7 linked regions of the Oryctolagus cuniculus genome follow. The protein of the gene in region 1 binds, or shares a complex with, the protein of each later gene. Links are inferred from orthologs where the notes say so. Each region holds a gene or a part of one and is shown in the gene's direction. Other genes may lie near its edges.

Region 1 (4,267 bases):
CCCTCAGGGTGGGCAATAGCAGGAAGCTGGAAGCAGAGTGGAGCTGGAACTCAAACCCAGGCAATCCCCGTGGCATTCAGGTGTCCCAAGTGTCCCACTGTGCCAGGCACCTGCCCTGGGTGCAGACACTGTAACCAGCATCTTAACTGCTAGGCCAAGTGCTTGCCTCAAGTCACCTTTGTATCATCCTCCATCTTGTTACTTTTATCTTCCTACTTTTTTCAATGACTACGAAAGTCTGATTCTCCAGTTTGCCTTTCAGATACAGTCTGGGGCTGACTTCTCTGAGTCACTGGGGCATTTAAAATTGTGTTCTCATTTTGATGGCAAACTTGTTTCACTATCATATGTATGGTCACTATCATACTTGGTCACCTTTTAAGGGAGTATTGCAGCAAAATTTGTATTTTGAGTGCTCATGGACACATTAAAATAACAGCAATTAATTTAATGTTTTAATGCCCAGTGAAGGCCAAATGCCTTCACAGAATGAACATTTCATAATAGTAGAAATAGAAAATATTACAGTGAGTTAGGGACGTCCAAGTCGACATAGCCAGGTCTCACTCTCATGCTAAAAGCAGCCATTTTGTATTTGCAAAGTCATATTTTTCTTATTCACTTTCATTTGAAATTGATGTTCGCATTTCGAACATCTAGCCTACTTGCTTTTAAATAAATAGCTTCACAACGAATGTGACAGCATCCGCGTGTATTATTTCTATTTGTCTCATGAAGTCCGTGCTACCTGCCTTTTTCTGTTTCATTTGAAGGATGAAGACCTACAAGAGATGGAGGATTTGGCCCAAAAAATGGAGGCTCAGTTTGGCCAGTTTTTTGATTACGTGATTGTGAATGACAACTTGCAAGATGCGTGTGCCCGGTTGTTATCTGTTGTACAGAAGGCTCAGGAGGAGCCTCAGTGGGTCCCCGCCACGTGGATTTCCTCCGACACCGAGTCTTCATGAGGTCCCCTGCTTCGGGCTGGAGTTTTAGCGCTGCAGCCTTGTCGGGGAGACCTGGAATAACAGCTGCTGTCTTAACAGCAGTACTGACCCATGTTAGTGTGTGCAACTGGATAAGTGCTGCAGTTCATTAACAGTATCGCAACAGTATGGCTCTGTATTATATTGCAAGGCTGTGCAGAGTGACACATTTGGCATTTAGGGAAACCTTTCTCTTTTCCTTCCCCTTCGATGCGGTTGTGGTGGGCATATCAATAACGTCACCAAGAATGAGCGCTTCTTAGGGACTTCAGGTCTTTCCAAGATTCAGTTAAAAGGAGCTTTCCTAAATAAAATGAGCAGTATTTAATTTCGGAAATGCACTTTATGAAACTTCTGTTTTGTGAATGCCTTTTACACAAAGTATCTACTTGGCTAACTCAGCAAGAAAGGTTAATGTACACATTTCATGGGTAACATCAACACCTCGAGATACTGAGATACCGCAAGTCTCCTGCATAGTCCCTAGAAGAAAGCCACGAGATGAGGATGCTATGCTAGGGTCTTTTTCTTTCTTCCCCTGTATCTGGGACCCCCCAGTAGCTCTCCCGGCCCCTTATCAGTTCATCTTCTGCATCACTCTCTCACCCTACCCATTCCAGCCCTCCCATCGCTTTCTATAAAGCATGTAATGACTCATTTTTTTAAACTTAAAAATAAGTTCCCTTTCTAAAAATATCCAAATAAAACAGAAAATGCAGTCATTTTAAACGATATTTAGATAGGCTGATTTAATTTTCTGTTGTGGCTCTTTGAGAAGGTTTCTGATTCGATTTACGCACTGTCGGTAGACGCTGTGAGAACTGTTTATTTCAATTGTTTATTACGCACTGTCGGAGACGGTGTGAGAATTATTTCAATACACACGCCCACCCGGAGTCCCGCCGGGGAGTGTCCAGCCCGGGGCGTCCGGGCGTTCCTCCCTACCCCAGAGCCCGGAGACGCGGGGCCAGGCAGAGCAGAGGCGGGCGGGGACCCGGCTCGGGCGTCAGCGGTCTCGCCGGGCGCTGCGAAGCCGCCGCCTCCCGCAGGTCCCGGAGGCCGGCGCGGCGCGGGGAGCCCGGCTCGGGCCGAGGCCGTTGCCCTGAGGGAGCCCCGCGGGGCGATCGCCATGAGGGACGACTCGCGGTTTCGTGTGGAGGAGGGCCGCCCGGTGAGTGGGGAGGGAGCGCGGCGGCCACGAGGGTCCCCTGGGGCAGCAGCAGCCCTCGGAGCGGGGCAGAGGCCAGCGGTGGGGGGCAGCAGCGGCCTGCCCTACTGGCCCCGGCCCCGTGGGCCGTTACTGGACCCCGGAGCTGGCCGGGAGTGTCCGGGGGCCTGAGCTCGCGTTGCCACGACGCAGCCTCCGTCCGCCGCCGCCCCGGCTGGGCGGGCTCCGCGGCTGCCAGCGAGCGGCTCTTCCAGGCTCCGTCGGGAGCGCCGGGCCTTCCGCCCGGAAAGAGAGCGTTGTGGCTGCGGAGCTTTTAAACCCAGGTCCTCCCTCACGCCCCGCAGACAAATCACAGCAAACCCTGGGGAAACCGTGATTGGAGCCCCACGGCCGCCGGAGCCTCTGCTTTCGGCCCGTCAGCCCAGGCTCCTAAGCCCAGTTTCCCGCACGGCCAGTCTGCAGAGGTCAGGCCCGGCCCCGGTACCCACAGCCCCCTCGCCCTACAGCCCACCGAGGGGTCTGCGGGCCCGAAGCGGCCTGGGCCGCGCAGCCCGATGACGCACTGCGCCTGCGCGGGCGGCCGGGCGGGCGGGCGGGGGTGGCGCCGCACGTCCCAGGGGCCGGAGGCCTACGGGCCCGGCTTTAGACAGAATGGGGAAGAAGCAGGTGGTAAGCGAGCGGTGGTTATGTTTGAGCGGTTAGGATTCTTGTCTCGGGTTGAGCCGTCCTGCTTTAGAGGGGCTTAGAGGTTGGGTTTCTGCTGTGGGTGAAACGTCATTTTTGCGGGATGTTTGAATGAGGGAGTTAGCAAGTGCACTGGACCTTGGGCTGGAACGCGCTTCGTAGCATCTTTAGAACAGCGGCGCTTTCGTGCGACTCCTTTCCAGTGTAATGTTTGACCACTGCATAGGATTAAGACAGTCAGCCTTGTCCTGGATCTTGGAGTATTTGCATTCATGTACTATTTGAACAGAAGGATGGCTGGGTGAGACCAACTCCTAGTATCTAGAATTTAACCGCGCTGTCTCCTGCAAGTAGCGAGATCCGTGGACCCTTAAATTGTTGATTTTGAAGGATTCCAGAATGCATCTTAGCTGCAGTGCTGTCTGCACTGCTAACACGAGTTTTCTCATTCATATCAACCTTTCTGCCCTAAAATCCTGTCTGTGGCACTGTTACTTGCTGCGCACGTTACAAAGTGGCGGAAAACTTCTATTGGCTTCCTGTTGAATTAGAACAAAACCCAGACTCCTTCCGTTGTTCTGACCCTGGGGCGTGTGCTTGGCCTTTACTGTCCTTTAACCCTGATTCTACCATTACCCGTCAGGGTGCCCTCACCGGTGGCCCATCAGATTTTTCTGTCACTCTGAACAGCAGGCTGTTGAAAGAACTTAAGGGTATTTGAGATTACATGAAGATGCCCAGGCTTTTACTTATCCACAGTTTTCTTCCTCCCTCCCACCCCCCATAGCGGCCTCCACGAGCTCTTCCACCTGTACCAAGGTAAACATGATTGACAGTAACTTAATTGTTGAACTTTAGAAACATAAAGCGAATAATGTTTGACGTGTAGTGTTGAGAAAGTATGATTCAGAAGAAACTTCCAAAAATTTAAAGGTAAAGCATCTTTGGGGCCTGAGGATAGCAGTTGTAACTGAATGTTCTCCTTTATTCAAAAGCCTGATTGTCACCGTGGTGTGCTGGGGGAGATCCGTGCTTGTTAGTAGAATTCTAATCCTCTTTTGTTTGCCAGAATAGTTTCCTGAGAGGTTAAGCTGATTATAGTGAGTGACAAATAACAGTTCCTAATCTGCTTTCTTATAGACAATAGGGAATATGGGTATGTGGGTCTTGAAAATGTTGGGGTTATTTTATTAGTAGTATTACATGGTATAGTTCTCACAAATAATAAGCTAGTTTGTAACCTGGCTGACATTGTGTGAAAGCTGATTTTATTTTAAGTATATAATGGTTTCAGTTATTTTTAAATTTAATTTTAAGTAGATTTGTAATTAATGGTTTCTTTTTTTGTTTTTCTCCTGCTGACTACATTTGGTCGGTATTATATGAAGTGCTATTCAAGGTAAGTTTATTATTACGTAAAATTATCAAA
Region 2 (4,027 bases), on another chromosome or scaffold:
CAGCAGGTAGTTTGATTTTTTTTTTATTAAGTATTAATTTAAAAGGCAGAGTGCCAGGTGAGAGAGAAGAGAATGAAAAAGGAAATCTGCCATTTGCTGGTTACCTCCTCAGAGGGGGCAACATCAGGGCCTGGACCAATTCAAAGCCAGGAGCGCGTGCTGCATTCCGCCCTCCAAGCTCCTGAGTCCACTGCCTGCTGTCTGCTCAGACGCACCCCAGGAATCTGGGACTCAGCGGGCGCTCTGAGGTGCAGGCGCCACCAAGCCGGCCCCTGCGGGCCTATTGAAGACATCCATAGACGGTGACTCCTTCAGTCTGGAACAATCCCACAAGCTGGGTGCTGTCATTCACCCTGATGGGGGACAAACGGGAATAGATGCAAATGACGCTGGCCTCAAGTCTTCATGAAGCAGAAGCCCTGTGTACCCCACCCCGTGTGTCCGCGAGGACCAGGACCTGACGCCCTGCAGTCCTCGTTACCAGGGCTGCACGGAGCAGGCACGCACGACCGTGGCGTTCCCAGCTGTCTGTCAGGAACCTTCTTTCTCGGATGGCGCTACCTGTGTGCATGCTGTCCTGTGCACCTTGCTGCCTCCCCGGTCCTCCACGTGTGCAGCCCCCGCGGTAGGAGGCGCGGCTGGGCGGGACTCCCGGTCCTGAGGACCAGGCTGCCCTGGACGCGGAGGCGGGGAGAGGCGCTCAGGACCTCAGGCGCCCGCGTGCACCCGCCCCACGGCCCGGACCGCTGGGCCCGGGGACGCCGCTCGCTCACAGCACTGGCGGCGAACGTGCAGTCGCTGGGAGGGCCCGGACCGCTGGGCCTTGAGCAGCCTGGGGAACTCCGCAAGGGAAGGGAAGCCCCGCCCCAGCCTCTGAGTGTCTGAGAAGAGGTTGTTTCCGAAGTCGAGGCCGGGGGATGCACAGAATGACCCGAGGGAATTCCCCCGAGCTCAGGCTCAAGTCTCTCATGTGGGGTTCAGGACGGGAGACAGGTGTTCTTTAGGGGGAGGAGGCGGGCCGCGAAGCTTATTTTGACACATTTCCTGGAGAGGCTCTGCAGCACAAACAGTCGGCGCTCAAACTTCCCGGCCACACTCAAGATGGCAACTGCCCGACCACGCCCCCAACGGCGGATCCCGGGGCCGGGGCTTGGGAGAGGCTACGGAGAGATGTCCATCACGGCATTGCCCCGCCCCCGAGGACAGCGAGCACCAATCGGCCGCGTGCAGGGCGGGGGCAAGGCCAGGGGAGGAGCCTGCTGTTGTCCCAGCAACGGCCAGGGAGCCTGAGGCGAGGGCGGTCGCGGAGGTTCGCGCCTTAGCGCCCTTGCTGTCAGGGAGGTCCCACGGGAGGCGCGAGGCCGGCGTCGCTGGCGCCCGCGAAGAGGACGGAGTCGGCCCAGAACCAGCATCCGGCTGCCGCATTCGCTCCCACTAGCCGTTAAGCTCTGTGAGGTAGGAGTGACGCATGCGCAACGAGTAGGGGCGGGGCCGAGGTGTTCGGAGGCGGGCCTCGATTCAATACGCATGCGTCGTCGAGCCTGTGGCGGGGCTATCAGCCGCGGGGAGGCGGAGCTTTGATGGCTGTGGGTGGAGCTCTCGGCCCCTTAGCGGGACTTAGCCAGGTCAGGAAGAGGTTTAAGGAGGGCATAGTTAGGCACCGGTTCCCAAGTCTAGGGCTACTCCCCCCATCTCCCGGGGAGACAGAGTCGGTGGATAACTCTGCATCCTCAGAGGGTTGACAAAACCAGGTTGGTGGCCTTCTGCCCCTTGCTTGGGCCTCAGTTTCCCTACTCAGAGCTGATTGTTTCTTTTCCCTCCCAGCGCCATGGCTGAGGTGCACGTGATCGGGCAGATCATGGGGGCCACCGGGTTCTCGGAAAGTAGCCTCTTCTGCAAGTGGGGCATCCACACAGGTATTCCCCCCAGGCCTGGTCACTGCCCACCAAGACCCCGCGCTCTCCCTGGACCCTCCGCCCCACCCCGGGTCCTCCTCTCCCCATGGGCTTTCAGCACTCCCGGCCCTGGCCAAGGCTGGCCGCGTGAGGCCCGCACTTCCTTCCTGCCCCGTCTCCGGGGACCCTGGCTCCCACCCTCGGCATGCATGGCCATTGACGATGATGGGCTAGGGGGAGACCCCATCCACACGCTTCATGTCAGAGCGCTCCTGTTAACTCCACTTGCTGCCTTGGGGGTGTGTCCTGGGATCCTCCCCAGCTTTCTCGTTCTTTGACTAGCAGCCTCCATTTATTGAGTTCTTACTGTAAAGTAGAAGTTTGCACCCCAGACTTACAGAGGAGAGGCCACATCCTGTCGTCAGAATGCCTTTCGCTCTGAGAAGGCAGCAATCATCCAAGTCCACACGGCCCAGCAGGGACTTGGAGACCCAGTGTTTCTGTAGGTCTGCATGGAGGCCAGACCTTGTAGAGGTGCAGTGTGATGGCCAGGGTCATAGGCAGCCACATCTGGGTTCAGATACTAAGTCCCCATGTATGTATCTGTGGCCTCTGGACTTGACCTCTCCAGCCCTCGGTCTCCTTGTCTGAGAGGAACGGCACGGTGTGGATAGCAGCTGAGAGGCGGTGTGGCGTCGAGGTTAGGAGCACAGACTGCCTGGGTCCTAACCAGGTGTTTATGTTTTTTAAGGTTTATTTATCTATTTGAAAGGCAGAGTTACAGAGGCTGAGGCAGAGAGAGAGAGAGAGAGAGAGAGAGAGTCTTCCATTCGCTGGTTCATCCCTCAAATGGCTGCAACGGCCAGAGCTGAGCGAATTTGGAACCAGGAGTTGTTGGGTCTCCCACGTGGGTGCAGGGGCCCAAGCACTTGGGCCATCTTCTCCTGCTTTCCCAGGCCATAGTAGAGAGCTGGATCGGAAGTGGAGCAGCTGGGGCTCAAATGGGGCCCATGTGGGAAGCTGGCACCGTAGACAGCCTCTTATTAATAGGTGACGTTAGGGCCTTGTTTGTGCGTCTGCTTCCTTGTGTGCACATGGGAGCAGTAACAACGTGTGCCTCGCGGATCTTTGCCAGGCCTAGGGGAGCATGCGCAGCACGCAGAGCAGGGCTGGCTGGTGCTGTGTGCCTGGCTCGCGGGTGACTCCGACAGGGTCCCATTAGTGAAGCCCAGGCACGTGGCTGCCCAGCCCCAGTAACAACCTATGAGGTAGACGTGGCTGCGTCTCGGGCTTGGGTCCCTTGGACCTGACTTGGATGGGTGAAGTCGCAGGATCAGAGTCGGGCTCAGGAGTCAGACTCCATGTCTACCCGGGACCCCAGCACTCACCTGCTCTGTGATCCCGGGCTGCTGTCCTTTTCTTGGGGCTGTTTAAGTAATCTTGTGTCTACGCAGCCTGACTCAGGGCTTCCCTCACCAAGGCCAGAGGGAGTCATGCTTGGCTTTTATTATCGCAGGTGGCTTTGGGGCATTGAATCCAGCAGGGAGCTCAGAGACAGTGGCCGAGGGGCCTGGTCGCTGCAGTTGGACATTTTACAGACTTCTGCGCTTGGGGATCTTTGGGTGCTGTGGTCACTGCTGTATCCCCAGAGTGGAGAACAGGCTTGGCATACCCTAGGTGCTCAATAAATGTTCATGGAATAATTAACCAAGTGACTTCCTTCTCAGAGCCTGTTTCTGTACTTGGAAAATGGTAATCATAGCACACATAGCTTCTAGGGTCACTTAATTGTCCCAAAAAATATGTATCGACCACCTTCTGTATACCACGCACTGGGGATCCCGCCATGTGCATGGGCCAAGCTCTCCTGAAGCTCATTCTACGAGCGTCAGACACTATATAAGCCGCTGAAGAAACTTAACTCAGTGATTTCCAGTGGCGACAGTGCTGGGGAGAGAGAGAGGCAATGGCTATAGAGGGCGGGTGTTTAGCTCGGGGTTAGGACCTGCACATCCCGCCGCACACCTGGCTGCTGGCTTAGCTCCCTGCTAATGCCAGCCCTGGCAGGCAGCAGGGATGGCCTAAGTGACTGGGTTCCTCCCGCTTACGTAGGAGACATGGGTTGTGTTCCC
Region 3 (3,500 bases), on another chromosome or scaffold:
TAGAGTGCCTGGTTCCTGTCACTGGTTTGTTTTAGAGAACAGATCCAGTTGTGACTCCATGTCCAGGGTGGTATACACAGATCATGCTAAGATACCCTCTACTTCTTGGAATGAGGATCTCTTTAGGACAAGTCTTTTGTTTCTGTTTTTGTTTTTAAGATTTACTTACTTCTGAAGTCAGAATTACAGAGAGAGGGAGAGACAGAGAAACAGAGATCTTCTATCATCTGGCTCACTCCCCAGATGGCCACAATGGCCAGGGCTGGGCCGGGCACAAGCCAGGAGCCAGGAACTTGATCTGGTGTCCCATGTGGGTGACAGGGGCCCAAACATCTGGGCCATCGTCTGCTTTTTCCAGGCCTTTATAGGGAGCTGGATCAGAAGTAAAGCAGCTGGACACAAATAGGTACCGATATTGGAGGCTGGTGGAAGCCTAACCCTCTATGCCACAACGCTGGCTCCTAGGACAAGTTTTATATTACAGAACCACAGAGCAAAACCCTTGTTAGAGTATCTTATCCCTGAAAGCCATGTTGAAGGACGAACTGAGGACAGAAACACTTGCAGTACAAGGAAGAAGGGATAAGGAAGCTCACGTAAATTACTGAGGAAAGAAAAAGTAATTTTATTGGTAAGGGACATTAGTAGGTAATTCACTTTAGAATAATTATGGGACTTATAAGCTTGACAAGGTGCCAAGTCTCACTAAGAAAAAGCAAATTAGGGGCCAGTGCTGTGGCATAGTAGATAAAGCCACCACCTGCAGTGCTGGCATCCCATATGGGCGGTGGTTCGAGTGCCGGCTGCTCCTCTTCCGATCCAGCTCTCTGCTATGGCCTGGGGAAGCAGTAGAAGATGGCCTAAGCCCTTGGGCTCCTGCACTTGCATGGGAGACCCAGAAGAAGCTCCTGGCTTCGGATTGGCCCAGCTCCAGCCGTTGTGGCCATTTGGGGAGTGAACCAGTGGATGGAAGACCTCTCTCTAACTCTGCCTTTCAAATAATAAGTAAATCTTTAAAAAAAAAAAAAAGGCAGCTGGACCAGAAGCAACAGCTCGGACTCGAACCCAGGCTCTCTAGTACAGAGTGCAGTCATGCAAAGCAGCACCTAATAATTGTGCCAGACACCTGCCCTGGGATGGCTAGCTAAAAAAAAAAAACTTTTTAAAATTTGTCTGAAAGAGAGGAAAGACAAACATACACAGAGATACTCCATCTGCTGTTTCACTCCCCAGATGGCCGCAATTCCAGGGATGTGTCAGGCCGAAGCCGAGAGTCTGGAGCTCCGTCCTGGTTCCCACATGGATGCAGGGGCCCTAGCACTTGGGCTGTCTGCCGCTGCTTTCCTAGGTACATTAGCAGGGACTGGATTGGAAGTGGAGCAGCCAGGTCTCAAACTGGCATTTTGGCCAGTGGCTTAATCTGCTATGCCACAACGCTGGCCCCCTTAAAATATTTTTGTGGAACTATAAATTAGTAATACCTGTTTGGTAACAGTTATTACTGTGAAAAATTCATATCCCTTTGAAATTTTGTATTTTAATTTTATATGAAAGGCAGACACACAGAGAGAAAAAACTTCTTTTTTAAAAAAAGATTTACTTTTCTATTTGAGAGGCAGAGACAGAGAGATCTTCCATCCCCTGGTTCACTCCCCAGATGGCCTCAACGGCCGGAGCTGGGCTGATCCAAAGCCAGGAGCCAGGAGCGTCCTCCAGGTCTCCCATGCAGGTGCAGGGGCCCAGTGATTAGGGCCATCTTCTACTGCTTTCCCAGGCCATAGCAGAGAGCTGGATGGGAAGTGGATCAGCCAGAACTCGAACCGGCGCCCATATGGGATGCCAGCACTGCAGGCAGCGGCTTTACCCACTACACCACAGCACCTGCCCCAGGAGAGAGAGAGAGATCTTTTATCTGCTGATTCATCCCTCTCCCCCTCCCTGCAAATGCCTGCAACAGCCAGGACTAGGCCAGCCCCAAAGCCAGGAACCAGGAACTCCATCTGGATCTCCCCTGTGTGTGGCAAGGACCACATCTGCTGCCTCCCATGGTACACATTAGCAGCAAGCTGACTCGGAAGCAGAGGAGCTGGGACTTCAACCAGGCACTCAGATAGGGGATGCCAAGAGGCAACTTAACTGCTGTGTCAGATGCCTTCCCCTTAAGGTTCATATTCTTAGACCTAATGGTTTCATATTGAAAACTGGATTAAAACGGCAACACTTCACAAGTATGTGAAGATTGCTATATGAGAATATTTATCGTCACCAGTTTTTTAACATCAAAGCATTAGAAACAAGCTATCAATACAAGAGTAGTTCAACCATGGAATTGGTTTGGTAGAATCATACATAACCATTGAAAATTAAGGTAGTTGTATCTATGAGAAAAAAATAAGTTGCAAGATAGTATGTATACGTATGTAAAAACTTCTAGTAGAGGGGCTGGTGCTGTGGTATAGTGGGTAAAGCTTCCGCCTGTGGTGCCAGCATCCCATATAGATGCAGGTTTGAGTGCTGGCTGCTCCACTTCTGATCCAGCTCCCTGCTGCTATCCCTGGGAAAGCAGTGGAGGATGGCCCAAGTCCTTGGGCCCCTGCACCCCTTGGAGACCTGGAAGAAGCGCCTGGCTCCTGGCTTTGGGTGGGCCTAGCCCAGCCGTTGAGGCCATTTGGAGAGTGAACCAGTGGATGGGTGATCTCTCTTTCTCTCCCTCAACCCTCTCTCTGTGACTCTGCTTTTCAAATAAATAAATAATTTTTTTCTTAAAAAACTAATAGAACTATATACATCATTTTATCATTTTATAATGGGGACATGCAGCGGTCTTTGGATGTTTTCTAAAGTTTTCTCTGTTGAAAAAGTTTTCAGTGATTATATGCATGAGTATATTATGATTATATTTTCAATGATTTATATATTATTTTTGTTGTTAAAAAATTGTTTTTCCCAAGTGAAGATCCCGTTGTCCTTGAGTAGGAGTTAGATTGGAAGCGGGACCTCTGGAGTAAAAGACCCCAATCCCACAACCCAGCCAGATCCTCCGGTGTTCGGTACAGATCCTTCCTCAAGTTCGTCTCTGCCTCCCACCTTTCCTCCCAGGTCAGGGAAAGCAGGCCATGGGAGGTGACTCCATGGGCTGTGTCTGACAGGTACCAAGGGAAACCTCTGCCAGCGAAAGATGCCCCTCGGCATTAGTGTGGCCTTGAGCTTCCCATCTGCCATGATGGCCTCCTACTACCTGCTGCTGCAGACCTACGTGCTCCGCCTGGAAGCCGTCATGAACGGCATCTTGCTCTTCTTCTGTGGCTCAGAGCTGCTGCTCGAGGTGCTCACCCTGGCTGCTTTGTCCAGGTACTGCTGCCAAGGGACCATTTCCCGTCGCTAGGGGGCTGGGTTCCTGTCCCAGGGAGGGATTCATTGTTCTGAAGCTTGAAGGAGCTAGAGGACTTTTAAGGGGGCATGGGGGTCTACGGGACTGCCTTTCCTTAGGGCAGGTAGGA
Region 4 (4,107 bases), on another chromosome or scaffold:
TTTGGAAAATATATATATTTTTAAAGGGAAGTATTTCATTAGTTCGTCATAAAAAGTTTCAGGTGCAAAAGCAAACTCTTGTAGGAAAATTTGGAAATATCTATGACACATCTGTGTGATCCTGATATATATATTTTTAGAAAATGTATTTATAGGTTCGGTGCTGTGGTGTAGCCGGTTAATGCCCTGGCCTGAAGTGCCGGCATCCCATATGGGCACCGGTTCGAGTCCTGGCTGCTCCACTTCCCATCCAGCTCTCTGCTGTGGCCTGGGAAAGCAGTGGAAGATGGCCCAAGGCCTTGGGCCCCTGCACCCACGTGGGAGACCAGGGAGAAGCTCCTGGCTCCTGGCTTCCGGTCGGCGCAGCTCCAGCCGTTGCAGCCATCTGGGGAGTGAACCAGTGGATGGAAGACCTCTCTCTCTCTGCCTCTCATCTTTCTGTGTAACTCTGCCTTTCAAATAAATAAATACATTTTTTATTTGAAAGGCAGAGTTACACAGAGAGAGGGAAAGACAGAGGAGGAAGACGGGGGAGAAGAAGGGAGGGGAGGAGAGAGAGTCTCCCATGTGCTGGTTCACTCCCCAGACAGTTGTAAAGGCCAGGGCTCGGCCGGGCTGAAGTCTGCGGGAACAGCACTGGGTCTCCCACGTGGGTGCAGGGACCAGCCGCTGCTGCTTTCCCAGGTGCAAAGCCGAGAGCTGGGATCCCGCAGGTGCTCATGTGGGATGCTGGCACGGCCGGCGGCGGCTTACGCGGCCGGGCCGCAACGCGGGCCCCTCCAGTCATACTTGTAGGCAGCGTCTCTGGAATGCACCGGGAAGACGTCTGATTACCTAACTTTGCTACGGGCATGTAATAAGTGAGCTGTGTCCTCGTGTATTGTTCAGCATTCTTCCAAACTGGTCGATTCGTAGTTACAAACTGCCCGTTTTTCCCTTTAAGACTTACGCACTGTTTTACTTATTGTCAAACTTGCAAAAAAAAAAAAAAAAAAAGTGATTATCTGACCCAGAAGCTCCCTGGCGACCCTCCGCGATGCGGCTAAAACCGAAAAAGGAGAAGTCAACGGCCACAGGGTCTGGGCCGGGAGAACTGAGGGGCCGCGGCGCGTCGGACGTCCACGCACTCGTTAAAAACCCCGAGAGCCGGGCTGGGCGCTGGACTTACGGATCCGCCTGGAAACCCGCCGCTCCCAGTCGGCGCCGCAGGCCGGCCGCGAACCCCAGCCGGGTTCCCGCGCCGCCGCCTCGGCCCGCCTCCTGGCGCGCGCCCCGCCCCCTCGCGCTGCCTTGTGGGCTTCTTCCCGTGGTGCCCCGCGCCCGCGGTGGCGGTTGCCGGGCAACGAGCGGCCCCTCGCGCCGGCCGCGCCGGGGTCCCCGGGGACTATGGGGCTGCCGGGCCTCCGGCCGCTCCTGCTGGTCCTGGCGGGCTGCTGGGCGGCGGTGAGGGCCCAGACCTCGGCGACCCCGGCCGCGACCTCGGACAACTTCACTGAGGCAGCCCCGGCCACTTTAGGACCGTCCGTGTCGCCTACGCCCCCCGGAACCTCCCGAGCCCCGGAGCCCTCCTTCGGCTCCAGGCCCGCGCCGGTCACGGACGGTGGGTGCCGGGCGCCGACTCCTGGGGGTGGGGGTCCACCGTGACTGGAGGGGGCAGCCGGGTGAGGGTGCGGCGCTCCGTGGACACCCGCGGCGAGCCGGCCGTGCTGGGTGTCGCCTGGGCGTCCGTCCTCTCGGTCACCGCGGGCGGCCGACGTTACTGTCCACGCGTGCAAGGGCGGCGGCCGAGGCGCGGGGAGCGTCAGCCACGCGTGTGGCGGCCGATTTCCAGGCCGACCTGACCTGGGCGACTTCGGGGTGGGTGGGGGGTGTCCGTGCGACCCCTGGAGTCAAGGGTCGTTAGCAGTCAGATTTTTAAACGGGTTTGTATCCTAAAAAAAATTAATCCTCTGAATCCAGAGGGGATTGAGAGGAACCTCCGTAAGGTGTGCGGCATTGTTTTTTATTTGTATTTTATTTTATTTTAAGATAAATATTTATATATATTTTATTTAAAAGATTTTATGAATCTTTATTGTATTTTATTTTATTAAGTTACTTTGCAGGTGAAATGCATAGCACAGTGCCCCCTGCACAGTGAGTGGTTAATCCGTTTTTATTTCCCCTCTTGAGAGAAAAGTCGATTCTGAGATTGAGTAAGGCAGAGTAGTAGTAAATTTAAAAAGCCCCATTGGCTGACAGCCTGCACTCTAGTTCCTAACTGTTATTTCTTTCTTTCTTTTTTCTTTTCTTTTTTTTTTTTTTTTTGACAGGCAGAGTGGACAGTGAGAGAGAGAGAGAGAGAGAGAGAAAGGTCTTCCTTTGCCGTTGGTTCACCCTCCAATGGCCGCTGCGGCCAGCACACCACGCTGATCCGATGGCAGGAGCCAGGTGCTTCTCCTGGTCTCCCATGGGGTGCAGGGCCCAAGCACCTGGGCCATCCTCCACTGCACTCCCTGGCCACAGCAGAGAGCTGGCCTGGAAGAGGGGCAACCGGGACAGAATCTGGCGCCCCGACCGGGGCTAGAACCCGGTGTGCCGGTGCCGCAAGGCGGAGGATTAGCCTAGTGAGCTGCAGCGCCGGCCTCTGAACTGTTATTTCTATAAAAAGTCCTTTATAAATTATGAGTAGTCTGTAAGAAGAAGTACAAAGATGTTTCTCTCTGAATAAACGGAACTTAAACATTTTAACCTGTTGATTTGATGAGTTAATGGAGAAGTTAGGTCAGTGGTAAATTAGGACAGCATAGTTTCCGTGCCCAAAATTCCCTGAAGTTGTTGGCCTGGGTTGTCTTTTACCCGTGTAAGGACCCCATCCGTTAATGCACTTTCTTCCCAAGTGAAGTGTTCCTGAACCATCATGATTAGGGTTTGTGTTTGGGGCTGCTTTTCCAATACGGAGGGTGAATCTGTACTTGTCCTTTTTGTTTTAAAAGAACTCCTCTTTAGAAATAGGGTGGCAAGAACTCATTTATTAACTGCCTGCCGCGTGGCAGATGCCAGGCCGTGCAGTTCATCCGTGTTGTCCGTGCGATGTGGGTATGGTTAGCTCCATTCTTCACGGAGGTGAGTGACTGGTGCGATTTCAGGTCACACAGCTGCTGCGTGGTGACGCAGGAGGCTGGCTGGCAGTGGAGAACTGGGTGGGCGTCTGCAGAATGGGTTGCAGGCCCGCTGACTGCATCTGAGCTCTGGGCGTTAGCACCCTGGGAGGTCTTGGGAGGCCCAGGGCGCAGGAGAGCCGCTGCTGAACAGACACTTCTTGGGTGAGGAAGTGCACTCCCGTCCCGGACAGGTGGACAGGTGACCTTTTGGTTCCTAAGTGGGGTCTGAGCAGGATTGCTTCATCCTTAATAGTCTCACTGCTGTCTACCAGGGTTGTAAGTTTTGAAAACAAATCGCGGTTGTAATTTGAAACACACAAGCTAGGAAACCTGAATGAAAAAATAGCATTAGCCCCAGTGTGTCATTATTTCACTACCCACATTATTCTCTTGGCTAGAGAAAAGCCTGTAAACTTAAGGGCGAAACATTTACATCTCAAAGTAAGAAGAACGTTGTGTGCATTGGCAGAACCTTCCCCTCTCCCTTTTCCCGGAGTCTGTTTTACCTTTCTTAGGTTATATCTTTCTAAATCTCACTTTGTGAGATAATTCATACGTACACACAAGAATGTTGTATGGGCCCTCTGCCAGCATTTGCTTTGAGATCTTTTGTCCCCCCACCCATGTTTGTTTCTTTTTGCCTGTTTGAAAGAGTAACAGACAGAGTGTTGGTTTGCTGATTGATTTCCTAAATGCCTGGAGTAGCTCCAGTTAGACCAGGCTGAAGCCTAGAACTCCATCCTTGTCTCCTACGGGGGTGTCAGGGACCCGAGGGCATCGTCTCCTGCCTCCTGGGATGCCTGAGTAGGAAGCTGGATCTTGAACCAGTGTCTGAGATGGGATGCGGGTGTCCCAAGTGGCGGCTTCCCCGGGGTCACAGTGCAACATTGCAGATAAGATGAGTGAATCGCAGAGGGAAGACCTCTCTGCCTCTGCCTCTGCCTCTGCCTCTGCCTCGCTGAAG
Region 5 (4,189 bases), on another chromosome or scaffold:
GGCCGGGGCTGAGGGACCTGAGTCTGGAAGGGGCCTTTTTGTTGTGTTATCCCATGGAGGAAGACAGAAGGGCAAGAGAGAAGGAAAAACCCATCCTTTCCCTTTTTTAAAAAAAAGATTTATTTGTTTATTTGAAAGGCAGAGTTACAGAGAGGCAGAGGGAGGGAGAGAGAGAGAGAGAGAGAGAGAGAGAGAGAGAGGTCTTCTATCTGCTGGTTTACTCCCCAGATGGCCACAGCAACCAGAGCTAGGTCCATTCAAAGTCAGGAGCCAGGAGCTTCTTCTGGGTCTCCCAAGGACTTGGGCCAACTCCCACTGCTTTCCCAGGCCAAGGCAGAGAGCTGAATCGAAAGTGGAGCAGCTGGGACTTGAACTGGTGCCCATATGGGATGCCAGCACTGCAGGCAGCAGCTTTACCCACTACGCCACAGCGCTGGCCCCAAACCCATCCTTTCATAAGGAAACCACTCTGTGGTAATGAGCCCACTCCTGTACCTGCATTAGTCCAATCACCAAGGACAGAGACCTCTGAGCTGATCACCTCTCATCAGGCCAACACCTCCACACTGTTGCACTGGGGTTAAGTTTCCAATACACCCAAATGATTGTCCAAGGCTCACCATGCAAGGCCACCCACAGGAGCCCTAAAGGCAGAGGATGGGCCAGAGTCTTTCTGGAGATTTTCCCAGGAAGGAATGGGAGAAGCAGGGTAAGTGTGCTAAGTTTAGTGAGTTTGAACCATGCTGGTGGGATCTGGGCTGCAGGAAGTATTCTCGGGTGTCTGCTACCTGGCCGTGGGATGAGTCAGGACAGGGAAGCACTGGTCTGGTAAGTGAGAGGTTGGTAAAGGTTGATGGTGTGTGGGGGGCTCCCGCTTGCTTGGTTTGTATATGAAAGTAGAGTTTCCAGCAGGCTGTCTCCAGGATCAAGGTCCCAAATGTCAGAGCAACCAGAATACAGAAAACAAAAAAATACAGCCAGTGCGCACACACATACAGAGAGAGAGAGAGAGAGAGAGAGAGACCTAGGCGTGAGCAGACACACACAGAAACAAGTACACTTGGAATGTGGCTTCCCTTGGCCTGCTCAGCCCAATTCCTCTGCCACCTGCTTTGCCTCTTCTCCCACTTCCTTTGCTGCTTTGAGCTGTAACATGTAATCCCCTTTTAGTGATTGCAGTGGGATTCGGAGAACAAGCAGAGATGAAACCTGTGCAGTCAGTCCTCCGTGTTTAGCCCGAAAGTCGCTGAGCGCAGTATTTGCTGGTGGCCTGCGGCACCTCCAGAATCAGGTGACGATGACCTTCTCTGAGTCTAAGTTGCCCCATCCTTGTCATCACCTGTCATTTACATGAAATGCAGGAGGACCAGCTGATGACAAGAGGAAGCTGCACTCCTAGTGTTTTCCCTCATTTTGCTCAGCTCCCCGCTAAGCTGGTTTCTCTTTGCCTCCGTTTTCCTGGGAGGCTTGCCTTCCACTACTAGAAATAAGCTGTCACTTTAAAAGAAAAAAAAAAAAGCCTCCAGTGACCTTCCCTAGGAACGGGTTGCTAAGCTGGTGTTTTTGCTCTGGGCCGTGGCTTGCAGCTCCCCAGGCTGCAGCCCGGGGCCTCCCCAGCTCACTGCCTTTCCCTTCCGGCCACTCAGAGGATTCAACAGCAAGGACCATCTCTCTCCACCTTCCTCCTCTTCCGGGAAGCAGCCAAGTGCCTTTTGTAAAGCACGTAAGGTAAATCAGTTCGTAACGGGAGCAGTGACGCTTTCCTGTTTGCAGTTATGGGTTCCGAGTGAGTGCAGCCTCTCCCTGGGCACCCTGAGAGTAGATTTCATGAACTGGCCGTCCAGGGGATCTCTTCATTATTTACATTTTTACTTCCTGGGACGGGAATACGTAGAGCAGTACTGGGGTGGTTTTGATTCAAGCTGCCTTCTGGCGTCTGGTATGCAGGAAGTGTTAAGTCAGGCTGATCCCGCAGCCTCCAGACCAGCACTCAGCAAATCCTTTGCCGCACGTTGCATTTCTGGGCCTTTCCGTTCTGTGTGGGTCATGGGGAGAAGTACTTGTAGGTGCAAACTTCAGTGGCCTTAAGCAAGGGGTGATTAACCACAGAGCTGCGGATTGCATTGCTTTCCAAAAGACCGCTAGAAAATCCACTGGCTGCAATTAAAACAGATTGTTTCCTTTCACTGCAGAAGGATGCAATGAAAAACTAACGAAGTCTAGCAGGAAATCCAGGTCTGCTGTTGCATTGTACGAACAGTTTCTGCAAATAAATTGAGTACTGGTGTGAAATATCTCTTTCCATAGAAAGATGGATATAGACAGACAGATCTCCTACAGCACATTTACAGAGTCGTTGATTCAAACATTTATTGAGCATTAACAATGTACCAGACAACATGCTTAGGTTTAGAGTGTGAGAAAACAAATTAGACCAGATCAGAAATCCAGCTTGCTGGGGAAAGAGCCCTATAAACAGATGATCATACTACAATGAGCTAAGTGACAAAGGAGATTTACAAAAGGGTCTAAAGGGCTTAGAGCACCTGGGGACCCCTAGGGAGTCCTTAGCATATCGGGTCAATGCATTAGCCATATACCACCGAGGGCAGCTCAAATGTGGCATTTACTTGGGCTCTTTGAGGGCAGTATATACTATATCAAGCTGATAAATGATTCCGTAAAGCTATCTGCCTCTAGCGTGGTACTAAGGGGAGCCATGGTTGGAATAACTCATTGGGTTAGAAAATGAAATCAAAAGGGGTGCATGCGGCACCTCCCCAGGTTTCCGAGTTCCCACTGGAACAGGCTGGGACAGACAAATGCTCTGAGGGTGAGATGGAGAACGTGCTCCGGAGAATAGGGCAGGACCTCTCAGAGGCACCATAAATGGAAACAGAAGACCAATGGCCTTGGACCTGACTGGAGGGAAGGGGTGGGTTATGGTAGCCAGGGCTGAAGGTGGGAAGTCAAGCCTGTAAGTACAGTGGCTCCCATGTCACCCCAGGGCTTTCTGTCCCTCAAGCTCTTTTCCCTCCTCACTCCTTTCTTCACCTTTCCCTTCAACTGTCACCTCTTCTTGCTAATGACACCTCACCCTACCTAGAGCCCAGTGCTGACAGACACTTTACTACTCACTTCCTCCCACTGAGTCCTTACAACTGATTGCTCTTTGAGGTTGGAACACGTTCGCAATTTTACCAGCGAAGGAGCCTGTCTCAGGGAGGTGAAGGCATGGCTGGAATTTGAACTCAGGGCCACACAACTCTTTGTAAAGGCCTCACATGCTTCTGTAAACCCATCGTGTCACTGCTCGACAGAAGGAGGCACAGACTGTGTTGGATTTAAGCGCCGAGGTGGAAATGCTCTGTGAACCGTGTTTCTCCTTTCCTCTTCTTTCATACAGTAGTCCCCACTCACAGGACCCTCTAGGTATGGCTCTGGCCCTCTGACAATGCTTGGAACTAGTTCATTTGTTCAGAGGAAGCATCAGTACTTTTCCTTTAAAAACGTGCTTTCTTTTGAAATCAATCATTCACGGTAGCCTGGAAGGGGGAGGACTCTGGGCTCTTAGAGTCTTGGGGTCAAATTCTGAACATGGCATTTCATAACAACGACCTTGTACAAACTATGGAGTCTGCAAGAGCCTCAGTTTCCTTGTGTATAAATGGGGCATGCGTTGCTGAGCTCGGAGTGTTACCGCGAGAACCAAAAAAGAACGTTTATCGGAAGATCCCAAAAATAGCTGTGCAGTAAATCATAGCTCTTGTTTTGATGTTTCCAGTAGGAATATATTAACAAGCACCCAGTGCATGTGAGGAAGGCAAGCCATGGATGAACACTGGGCAATATTGATTTATCTTTTCTTAGCAACAGAGTTCATAACAAAAATAAATTTTGGTGTCATTTGATTTCCTTAGAATCTCATTCAAAGTTAATGATCAGGAAAGAATGAAAGGGAAAAAAACAACCCCATTACATTTTTCATTTTAGACTTCTGTTGTTTCTTTGTGATTTTTCTTCTGTGTTTTAGTGACTAAAGTATTTCTGGACTCTTTTTTTGCGTTCACAACGACCAGAGTCATTTATGAGACAGTTTCTGTGCCCTTTGGAATTTGCATTCTCAGTGTGGACCCCCGGTTAGCTCTAGGTTAAGGAGGGCCTCCTTCTGGGTTTTTTGTGTGGTTGA
Region 6 (4,249 bases), on another chromosome or scaffold:
AGGTCCTCCATCCACAGGTCCACTCCCCAGATGGCTACAACGGCCAGAGCTGCCTCAGTGTGAAGCCAGGAGCCTCCTCCGGGTCTCCTATGTGGGTGCAGGGGCCCAAGGACCTGGGCCATCCTCCAGTGCCTTCCCAGGCCATAGCAGAGAGCTGGAACCGAAGCAGACAGTCAGAAATCGAACTGGCACCCATATGGGGTGCTGGCCCTGCAGGCGGTGGCTTTACCCACTACACCACAGCACCGGCCCCCACACTGACTCCTGATCCTGCAACTGGAGTCTTCAGGGCCTTTGGATGGAGAACTTGGCTGTGGACCATTGGTTTTATTATTTATTTTTCTTTTTTTTTGTTGTTTGCTTACTTTTTTTTTTCTTTTCCTTTCTTTTGGATCATAGGTTTTAAAAATCCTTCCACCCTGTTCAAAATACTGGCTTGGCAGAGAAGGCGGTGGGCAATCAATTAGCAATAAACCAATGTTATCTTTGGGAAGTACGACTTAACCCACTGGGGCAGCACTGTGGTGCAGCGGGTTAAGCCACCATCTGCAGGGCCAGCATCCCTTGTGGGTGCCAACTGAGTCCTGGCTGCTCCACTTCCAATCCACTTTCCACCTGGGAGAGCAGCAGAGGAGGGGCCAAGTGCTTGGGCCCCTGCACCCCAGTGGGAGACCCAGTTGAAGCTCCTGGCTCCTGTTTTTGGCCTGGCCCAGTCCTGGCTGCTGCGGCCATTTGGGGAGTGAACCAGCGGATGGACGATCTCTCTCCCCTTCTCCCTGTAACTCTTTCAAATAAATTATTAAACCTTAAAAAAAAAAAAAAAAGGCTTAACCCACTGCACAACACGTCCCAGAGGGGAGTGCCAAGTCCCAGCTGGTCGGCTTCCACTCCAGCTTCCTGCTCGGGCATCCTGGGAGGCAGATGATGATGGCCCAGATATTCAGGCCCCTGCCCTTAAGTGGGAAACCCAGAGGGAGTTCCTGGCTCCTCGGGCCATTTGGGGGAGCGAACCAGCAGTTGAAAGATCTCTGCCTCCCTCTGTCACTCTTTCAAATAAATATTTTTAAAAAGAAATGTATCTTGTTTAGTAGCTCCCTCTGAAACCGGCAGCCGAACCTGCACCCAATACAGGTAACAATGTACGTAGTAATGACCCTGCCCGCCCCAGAGCCGAGGGTTTGGGTCCTGTGCGCTGTCCTGCTTCCGGAGCCACAGAACACAGAGGCGGAGCAACCCGGCCTTGGCCTTCGTCCAGGACCAGGTCGAGGAGCGAGGCCACGCGTGTGCGACCTGCGGGCATCAGCGTGGACCACTCAGCCGTCCTCAGCCGTCCCGAAGCAAAACACGCAACGCCCCCCTCTCGGTGGCCCGTCCACTGGCTGACCACGCCCCTCTCCAGGTAGCTCCGCCCCTTCTAGAGGCCCGCGCCGCTACTATTGGTCCTCCTCCCGGCGCCGCCGGTTGCCGTGGAGACCACGACGATGGCAGCCGGGAACAGCCAAACTTGGTCGTCCCTTCTCGGTTTGCGTAGGGGTCTCGGCGTGCGCCGTCCATGGCGCTGTACCAGCTCTACTCCCACCCGGCCGAGCGCGGCTACCGCGCGGGGCTCTGCTCCAAGGCAGCGCTGTTCCTGCTCCTGGCCGCCGCGCTCACCTACATCCCGCCGCTGCTGGTGGCCTTCCGGAGCCACGGTGAGCTTGCTAGGCCGGTGCGCGCCACCGCCTCCGCTCGGGACGGCCTGCCTGACCTGTCCCCCTCTCCCTCTCACGCCCTTCTTCTCTCAGGGTTTTGGCTGAAGCGGAGCAGCTACGAGGAGCAGCCGACCGTGCGCTTCCAACACCAGGTACTGCTCGTGGCCCTGCTGGGACCGGAGCGCGACGGCTTCCTGGCCTGGAGCACCTTCCCCGCCTTCAACCGGCTGCAGGGGGATCGCCTGCGCGTCCCGCTCGTCTCGGTGCGTGGCTCCCGCCTGGAATTCCGCTTCCCCCAGACGCCCAGGTACCCGGGCAGCGCTGCGTGCTGACCCGGGCCGGGCACGGTGCGCGCTCGGGGTCCCGCGGTGTCGCCGCGTTCACGCGGCGCGGCGGAAGCTGGGGGTCGGGGGCGGGCGTCTCCGGGCAGGACTGACCCTCGGAGACCGGGCGCCCCGCACCTGTTCCCCGGCAGGGCCCCGGCGGAGGGAGCCTGCCCCACGTGATCTCAGAGGCTGCTCCAGCGTGCATCTGTCCGGGGTAAAATTGAGACTTTTTCTTTAAGAGGGCCGAAACTTCTAGTTTTCCTTCTTCCACGTCCTTGAGGTGAGTGGCCTACAAGACAAACTCGTGTAAAAAATGTTCCCAGCAAAAAGATGATAGGTCGTATGAATAACTAGAAAGTTTGTTACAGATAGTTTTTCTCTGGTTACTTCTGAAATTTATTGGCTTTTTTTTTTTTTTAAGATTTATTATGTATTTGAAAATGAGAGTTGCACAGAGAAAGGAGAGGCAAAGCGAGAGAGAGAGAGGTCTTCCTGATGGTTCACTCCCCAGTTGGCCGCAACGGCCAGAGCTGCACCGATCCAAAGCCAGGAGCCAGGAGGTTCTTCCAGGTCTCCCAAGTGGGTGCAGGGGCCCAAGCACTTGGACCATCTTCTACTGCTTTCCCAGGCCACAGCAGAGAGCTGGATCGGAAGTGGAGCAGCCGAGTCTCAAACCTGCACCCATAAGGGATACCGGTGCTTCAGGCCAGGGCGTTAACCCGCTGCGCCACAGTGCCAGCCCCTATTGACTTATTTTAATTAGGAAAGTACCCAGTTTCCCACGTCGGTGTCAGGGGCCCAGGTACTTGGGCCGTCTTCTGCTGCTTTCCCAGGAACAGTGGCAGGAAGCAGGATTGGAAGTGGAGCCGCCAAGACTTGAACCGGTGCCCATAGGGGATGCTGGCGCTGCAGGCAGAGGTCAAACCCACTGTGCCACAGCACTAGCCCCAGGTTTTTTCTCCACATGTTTATATTCCTCTCTATCATGTGCTTCTGGTCATTTGAGTCTAAGAAATACCATGCAGGCTTGAGATAATTGTGAAGACAAGGATAAACCATTAAGTTTCATTCATTCATTGTTTTTACGGGTTCGTGCAACACAGCTGCTGTTGGCCTCTTAGCTCTGCAACCAGAAACCAACCACTCCCTTCAGTGCACCGCCCTGGTCCCCCCTTGCATCTGGCGTGCAGTTCCAATTTTAATGAGAAGCCAAAACTAACTCTTAATGTTTATGGTACCCATACCATGAGATCACTTTCATACTGGGTAATTTTGGGGCTGGCACTGTGGTACAGCGGGTTAAAGCCCTGGCATTCCATATGGTCACTGGTTCGAATCCTGGCTGCCCCACTTCCGATCCAGCTCCCTGCTAATGTGCCTGGGAAAGCAGTGGAGGATGGCCCGGTGCTTGCGGCCCTGTATCCATGTGGGAGACCTGGAATAAGCTTCTGGTTCCTGGCTTCAGCATGTCCGAGCCCTGGCCATCGTGCCATTTGGGGAGTGTACCACCGAATGGAATTTTTTTTTTTTTTTTTTTTTTTGACAGGCAGAGTGGACAGTGAGAGAGAGAGACAGAGAGAAAGGTCTTCCTTTGCCGTTGGTTCACCCTCCAATGGCCGCCGCGGCCGGCGCGCTGCGGCCGGCACACCGCGCTGATCCGATGGCAGGAGCCAGGAGCCAGGTGCTTCTCCTGGTCTCCCATGGGGTGCAGGGCCCAAGCACCTGGGCCATCCTCCACTGCACTCCCTGGCCACAGCAGAGGGCTGGCCTGGAAGAGGGGCAACCGGGACAGAATCCGGCGCCCCGACCGGGACTAGAACCCGGTGTGCCGGCGCCGCTAGGCGGAGGATTAGCCTAGTGAGCCGCGGCGCCGGCCTCGAATGGAATATTTTCTTCCCCTACCCCCTACAGCCAGTGCGCCACAATGCTAGCCCTGGTTCTTAATTCTTTTTTTTTTTTTTTTTTTTAGATTTATTTATTTATTTGAAAGTCAGAGTTACACAGAGAGAAAAGGAAAGGCAGAGAGAGAGAGAGGTCTTCCATCGCTGGTTCCTTCCTCAATTGGGCACGACAGTGAGAGCTGCACCAGTCCAAAGCCAGGAGCCAGGAGCTTCTGCCAGGTCTGCCACACAGGTGCAGGGGCCCAAGGACTTGGGCCATCTTCTACTGCTTTCCCAGGCCACCGCAGAGAGCTGGATTGGAAGTGGAGCAACTGGGACTCGAACCAGCACC
Region 7 (3,953 bases), on another chromosome or scaffold:
TAGCGGGTAAAGCAGTTACCTGCAGTGCCAGCATCCCGCTTGGGCACTGGTTCTAGTCCCGGCTGTTCCACTTCTGATCCAGCTCTCTACTGTGGCCTGGGATAGCAGTAGAAGATGGCCCAAGTCCTTGGGCCCCTGCACCCGCGTAGGAGACCTGGAAGAAGCTCCTGGCTCTGGGCTTCAGATCAGCAGCTCCAGCCATTGCGGCCAACTGGGCAGTGAACCAGTGGATGGAAGACCTCTCTGTCTCTCTGCCTCTCCTTTTCTCTGTGTGTAACTCTGACTTTCAAGTAAATAAATAAATCTTTTAAAAAAATAAATGGGGATAAAAATGGACTTAGGGTTTCCATGAGGATTGGGAACAATGCCAACAAAGTTCCCAGGCTAAATTAGCTCCTACCTAAATGGTGCTATTTATGGAGAGTCCTTGGCAAGGCACAAACAGCAGCTATGGCACCCCAGGTGTTCAAGGCCATGCAATCAAACTGATTCCTGAATTCAGGGGACAACTGCTAACCCTGTTGGGGAAGTAGCAGATGTTAAAGGGAGCCAGCTGAGGTTAGGGCATGTCCTGAATGTCACTCTGTGGGCTTCTCAGAGGGCCAGGGCAGCACAGCAGTTAGTTTAATAATCTGGAACTAACACACAGGGGAGGAACCTGTGCCATGACTACATCTCTTCTTTCCTGCTGCTGTCTTCCTTGTTTTAACTGTTGGCCCTCCCTGTTTTTTCCTTCTCTGGCCCAGAGAATACCAACACAACGACTAATAAGTAGGACACCCGCACCCCCCCTCCCCCGCCCCTTGAAGAATGTGCGTTCGTGTCTGGGGAGTGCCACCACCTTCCCTGATTCCTTTGGGATTAATGGGTGCATTCTTTCAGTCTCCTCCGCCCGTTTTTCTTGCGTTCAGCGGAAGACAGTACGGCACAGTGGGAAAACAGGTCTAGTCTCATCACCCTGCATTTACGCCAAGTGGGCTGACGGCTGTGCCTGGCCCCTCATTTGTACAGCGCCTTAAGTCCCGCCTCAGGAGTGAGTGATCCTCGTTCGCACAAATGGTAAAGCGGACATTCGCAGGCTCCTGCACTGCCCGCTCTGGGGCGCTAGGGGGCGACGCCGCGGCGGGAAGGGCGGGTTGCGTGCGTAGCGTCTCCGCCCCAGCGTCTGCGTTGCCAGGGGAACTGGGGGCGGTGTGCTTTCCGGCGCAGTCGTTGCGCGTCGCAGATATCATGGCGGAGACCGTCTGGAGTACTGACACCGGGGAAGCAGTGTATCGCTCCCGGGACCCTGTGCGCAACCTGCGCCTCCGGTAGTCGCGCCGCCCCAGCCCGGGGTGCTATGCTTTTATGCCCTTCGAGCCTGAACTTGTCGTTCTTCTGAGGCCCCCACTTGCGCTTACAATCCCGATCTTCCTCCCTGGTCTCTCTACATCGCTCTGCATTCCCCAGATCTTCTGTACGTAGGGCTTCCAAGCTCGCCTTCCACACCCAGCCAGGTCGTTTCAAGGCCTGTCGCTCTCCGATTCCTCAAGCCCTGGCTCCGCAGTAGTCCTCTCACCCTCTCTTCCCCGTAGGGCCCACGCCCCACCCGGCGCCTGCCCTGTGTTTTGTATTTCCCATGCTTGCTCTGCGTTGTGTGTGTTGTAACGCGTATTCGAGCTTCTGTTTTCTTCACAGAGTCCACCTGCAAAGAATCACCTCAGGCAGCTTTCTTCATTACCAGCCTGCGGCCCAGCCTCGGAAGGACCTCATAGACTTGGCCACCTTCAGGCCTCATCCCACTGCCAGTGGGTGTCACGGTGGAGTCGCAGCCCCCTGGGGACCTGGGCGAGGGAGGGCCTGGGGGGTAGAGGTTCCCGTTAGGACAGAAGAGACCCAGGCCTGTGGTGTTCAGAGAAAGCTGCACCTTTTTTTTTTTTTTTTTTTTTTAAGTATTTTTATTTCTTTGAAAGACAGAGTTACAAAGAGAGGTAGAGACAGAGAGAGGTCTTCCATCTGCTGGTTCACTTCCCAAATGACCACAATGGCCAGAGCTGAGCTGATCCAAAGCCAGGAGCCAGGAACTTCTTCCAGGTCTCCCATGCGGGTGCAGAGGCCCAAGGACTTGGGCCATCTTCTACTGCTTTCCCAGGCCATAGCAGAGAGCTGTGATTGGAAGAGGAGCAGCCGGGACACGAACCGGCACCCATTTGGGATGCCGGCACTGCAGGCTGGGGCTTTAACCCACTGTGCCACAGCGCCGGCCCCAACTGCACCTTTCTTACCTAGGAGAAATGGAAGGCAAAGAGATTGTGTTGCTTGCCTAAGGTCACATAGTTGGAGCCTGCACTTGAACCAAGGTGGTGTTAACTACTTCATCGTGTTATTTGTGGAAATTGAATAAGATACGATTCCTGCTATCAAGATACTGAGGCAAATTGTGGTCCAGTATAGTGGCAAAAGACAGATAGCGTATATCTGATGTTATAAATGGGCCTGGCAACCGTACCATTTATGGCTTTTTGTTCGTTTGTCTAAGAAAGATATGCTCAAACTCTACATATGCATGTAAATACTTTTAAAAACAATTTTACGATTGAAGACTGCTTGCAGACTGTGCGTTTGAACACCCACAGTGTTCTTGTGGTTCTCCTTATCTGGGAAGCCATAGGTGTGAGGAACAGAGGCTGGTGCTTGTATTGGGCCATTAGTGTTTCTGCCTTTTGTTTCTCTGCACTCAGAAGTATTCCTCTGTGAAATGGGGGTTTTGAAGCTGTGTCTCTGAAAAAGATACTCACCCCTGGAGTGTGTTAGATCTGGTTCTTTAACAAATCATTTATTTGCCTTCCCTGCCCTCTCCTGACACTTGGTCTCTGACATGATTGTGATTCTAGCTGTATGGCTTCAGGAACAATTAAAATGAAAATGCCAGGGTTCTTACCTAGCAAATGCAGGCAGCTGGCATTGAAGAAGAGCTGGCTGGTCAACCTATATCCTAGGCTCAGTTCCTGACAATGAGTTAAATTGACTACTTCCTGGAAGGCAGAACTACATTTTATTCAAATTAGAATAGTGATTAAGACTTTGTGGGTTTTAATCTTGGCTTCAACTCCTGCTAACTCCAGTGTATCCTTTGTCTACATTGAATGCTTAATAAATCACTGAACTCCTGCTGGTTTTGTGGCAAACATAAGAGTAGGGGCTTTGGTTACAATCAACCTCAGAGCAAGAAATGGTGGTGACGTAACTCTGTTGTCTTTGCAGGTGGACATCGCCCAGAGGAAGATGAAGATGAGGAGGTGGTCATTGGGTGGCAGCAGAAGCTCTTTAGCCAGGTGAGCCGGTGTCGTTCACTGCGTGGTCTCCCTCCACCTGGCTGGTTGTACATTGCCAAAGTGATTTCTGGGATGGTCGTAGCAATTTGTACCTCCCTCTGTTGTGTTTACAAGGGCAGTGTAATATAGTGACCGCCACCGCTCAGTGTTATGACCCTGGGTGAGGCACGTTTCCCCACCGTGGACCCTACGCCACCTATAACAATGCGGTTGGACTAGAGCTTCACCCCTTTGCTCTCTAACATTCTTGGGTCCCCTGCCCTCCATTGGTTTAAATCTATGAGAATTAATTATGGAGCTATGTCAGATAATATCAGCTCTCTAGGACTGATTTGGTAGTAGTTCTAGGATCAGAATTTTGAGGTATCTCGGATGTCTGTTTCCTTGTGGCGACCTCAGTTTGAAGTAGATCTGTACCAGAATGAAGCAGCCTGTCAGAGCCCTTTGGATTACCAGTACCGGCAAGAGATCCTGAAGCTGGAGCAGTCGGGGGGCAGGAAGAACCGACGAATCTTTACCTACACCGACTCTGACCGCTACACCAATTTGGAGGAGGTATTGTTCTTCCCAAGGCCCTGTAGCTTCCTTCTTTGCCTCCCCTGGCTTTTTGGCTTCACTGGGTTCTGGGTGCTAAATCGG

Evidence for each region.
Region 2: TMEM237 (region 1) and B9D2 share a complex: the UniProt entries of both Homo sapiens proteins name them as parts of the tectonic-like complex. The link is inferred for Oryctolagus cuniculus from reciprocal best matches to the Homo sapiens genes TMEM237 and B9D2.
Region 3: TMEM237 (region 1) and TMEM216 share a complex: the UniProt entries of both Homo sapiens proteins name them as parts of the tectonic-like complex. The link is inferred for Oryctolagus cuniculus from reciprocal best matches to the Homo sapiens genes TMEM237 and TMEM216.
Region 4: TMEM237 (region 1) and TCTN1 share a complex: the UniProt entries of both Homo sapiens proteins name them as parts of the tectonic-like complex. The link is inferred for Oryctolagus cuniculus from reciprocal best matches to the Homo sapiens genes TMEM237 and TCTN1.
Region 5: TMEM237 (region 1) and CC2D2A share a complex: the UniProt entries of both Homo sapiens proteins name them as parts of the tectonic-like complex. The link is inferred for Oryctolagus cuniculus from reciprocal best matches to the Homo sapiens genes TMEM237 and CC2D2A.
Region 6: TMEM237 (region 1) and TMEM231 share a complex: the UniProt entries of both Homo sapiens proteins name them as parts of the tectonic-like complex. The link is inferred for Oryctolagus cuniculus from reciprocal best matches to the Homo sapiens genes TMEM237 and TMEM231.
Region 7: TMEM237 (region 1) and MKS1 share a complex: the UniProt entries of both Homo sapiens proteins name them as parts of the tectonic-like complex. The link is inferred for Oryctolagus cuniculus from reciprocal best matches to the Homo sapiens genes TMEM237 and MKS1.

What each region holds. Positions count from the first base shown.
Region 1 is NC_091434.1:38,296,816-38,301,082, forward strand, and holds the start of TMEM237 (transmembrane protein 237), read left to right. Parts: upstream 1-1,467; 5' UTR 1,468-2,115; coding exon 2,116-2,157; intron 2,158-3,625; coding exon 3,626-3,657; intron 3,658-4,226; coding exon 4,227-4,237; intron 4,238-4,267. Other genes in the region: MPP4 (MAGUK p55 subfamily member 4), read left to right, coding at 774-968. UniProt on the Homo sapiens protein: Component of the transition zone in primary cilia. Required for ciliogenesis.
Region 2 is NC_091449.1:13,268,896-13,272,922, forward strand, and holds the start of B9D2 (B9 domain-containing protein 2), read left to right. Parts: upstream 1-1,227; 5' UTR 1,228-1,455; intron 1,456-1,529; exon of another isoform or gene 1,530-1,751; intron 1,752-1,824; 5' UTR 1,825-1,828; coding exon 1,829-1,916; intron 1,917-4,027. UniProt on the Homo sapiens protein: Component of the tectonic-like complex, a complex localized at the transition zone of primary cilia and acting as a barrier that prevents diffusion of transmembrane proteins between the cilia and plasma membranes.
Region 3 is NC_091432.1:10,781,803-10,785,302, reverse strand, and holds part of TMEM216 (transmembrane protein 216), read left to right. Parts: intron 1-3,148; exon of another isoform or gene 3,149-3,149; coding exon 3,150-3,351; exon of another isoform or gene 3,352-3,500. UniProt on the Homo sapiens protein: Part of the tectonic-like complex which is required for tissue-specific ciliogenesis and may regulate ciliary membrane composition.
Region 4 is NC_091452.1:8,272,264-8,276,370, forward strand, and holds the start of TCTN1 (tectonic-1), read left to right. Parts: upstream 1-1,307; 5' UTR 1,308-1,386; coding exon 1,387-1,600; intron 1,601-4,107. UniProt on the Homo sapiens protein: Component of the tectonic-like complex, a complex localized at the transition zone of primary cilia and acting as a barrier that prevents diffusion of transmembrane proteins between the cilia and plasma membranes.
Region 5 is NC_091433.1:10,482,299-10,486,487, forward strand, and holds the start of CC2D2A (coiled-coil and C2 domain-containing protein 2A), read left to right. Parts: upstream 1-1,389; 5' UTR 1,390-1,728; intron 1,729-4,189. UniProt on the Homo sapiens protein: Component of the tectonic-like complex, a complex localized at the transition zone of primary cilia and acting as a barrier that prevents diffusion of transmembrane proteins between the cilia and plasma membranes.
Region 6 is NC_091449.1:57,934,800-57,939,048, reverse strand, and holds the start of TMEM231 (transmembrane protein 231), read left to right. Parts: upstream 1-1,449; 5' UTR 1,450-1,552; coding exon 1,553-1,691; intron 1,692-1,784; coding exon 1,785-1,954; intron 1,955-4,249. UniProt on the Homo sapiens protein: Transmembrane component of the tectonic-like complex, a complex localized at the transition zone of primary cilia and acting as a barrier that prevents diffusion of transmembrane proteins between the cilia and plasma membranes.
Region 7 is NC_091448.1:33,643,763-33,647,715, reverse strand, and holds the start of MKS1 (tectonic-like complex member MKS1), read left to right. Parts: upstream 1-1,153; 5' UTR 1,154-1,230; coding exon 1,231-1,310; intron 1,311-1,677; coding exon 1,678-1,787; intron 1,788-3,243; coding exon 3,244-3,314; intron 3,315-3,713; coding exon 3,714-3,869; intron 3,870-3,953. UniProt on the Homo sapiens protein: Component of the tectonic-like complex, a complex localized at the transition zone of primary cilia and acting as a barrier that prevents diffusion of transmembrane proteins between the cilia and plasma membranes.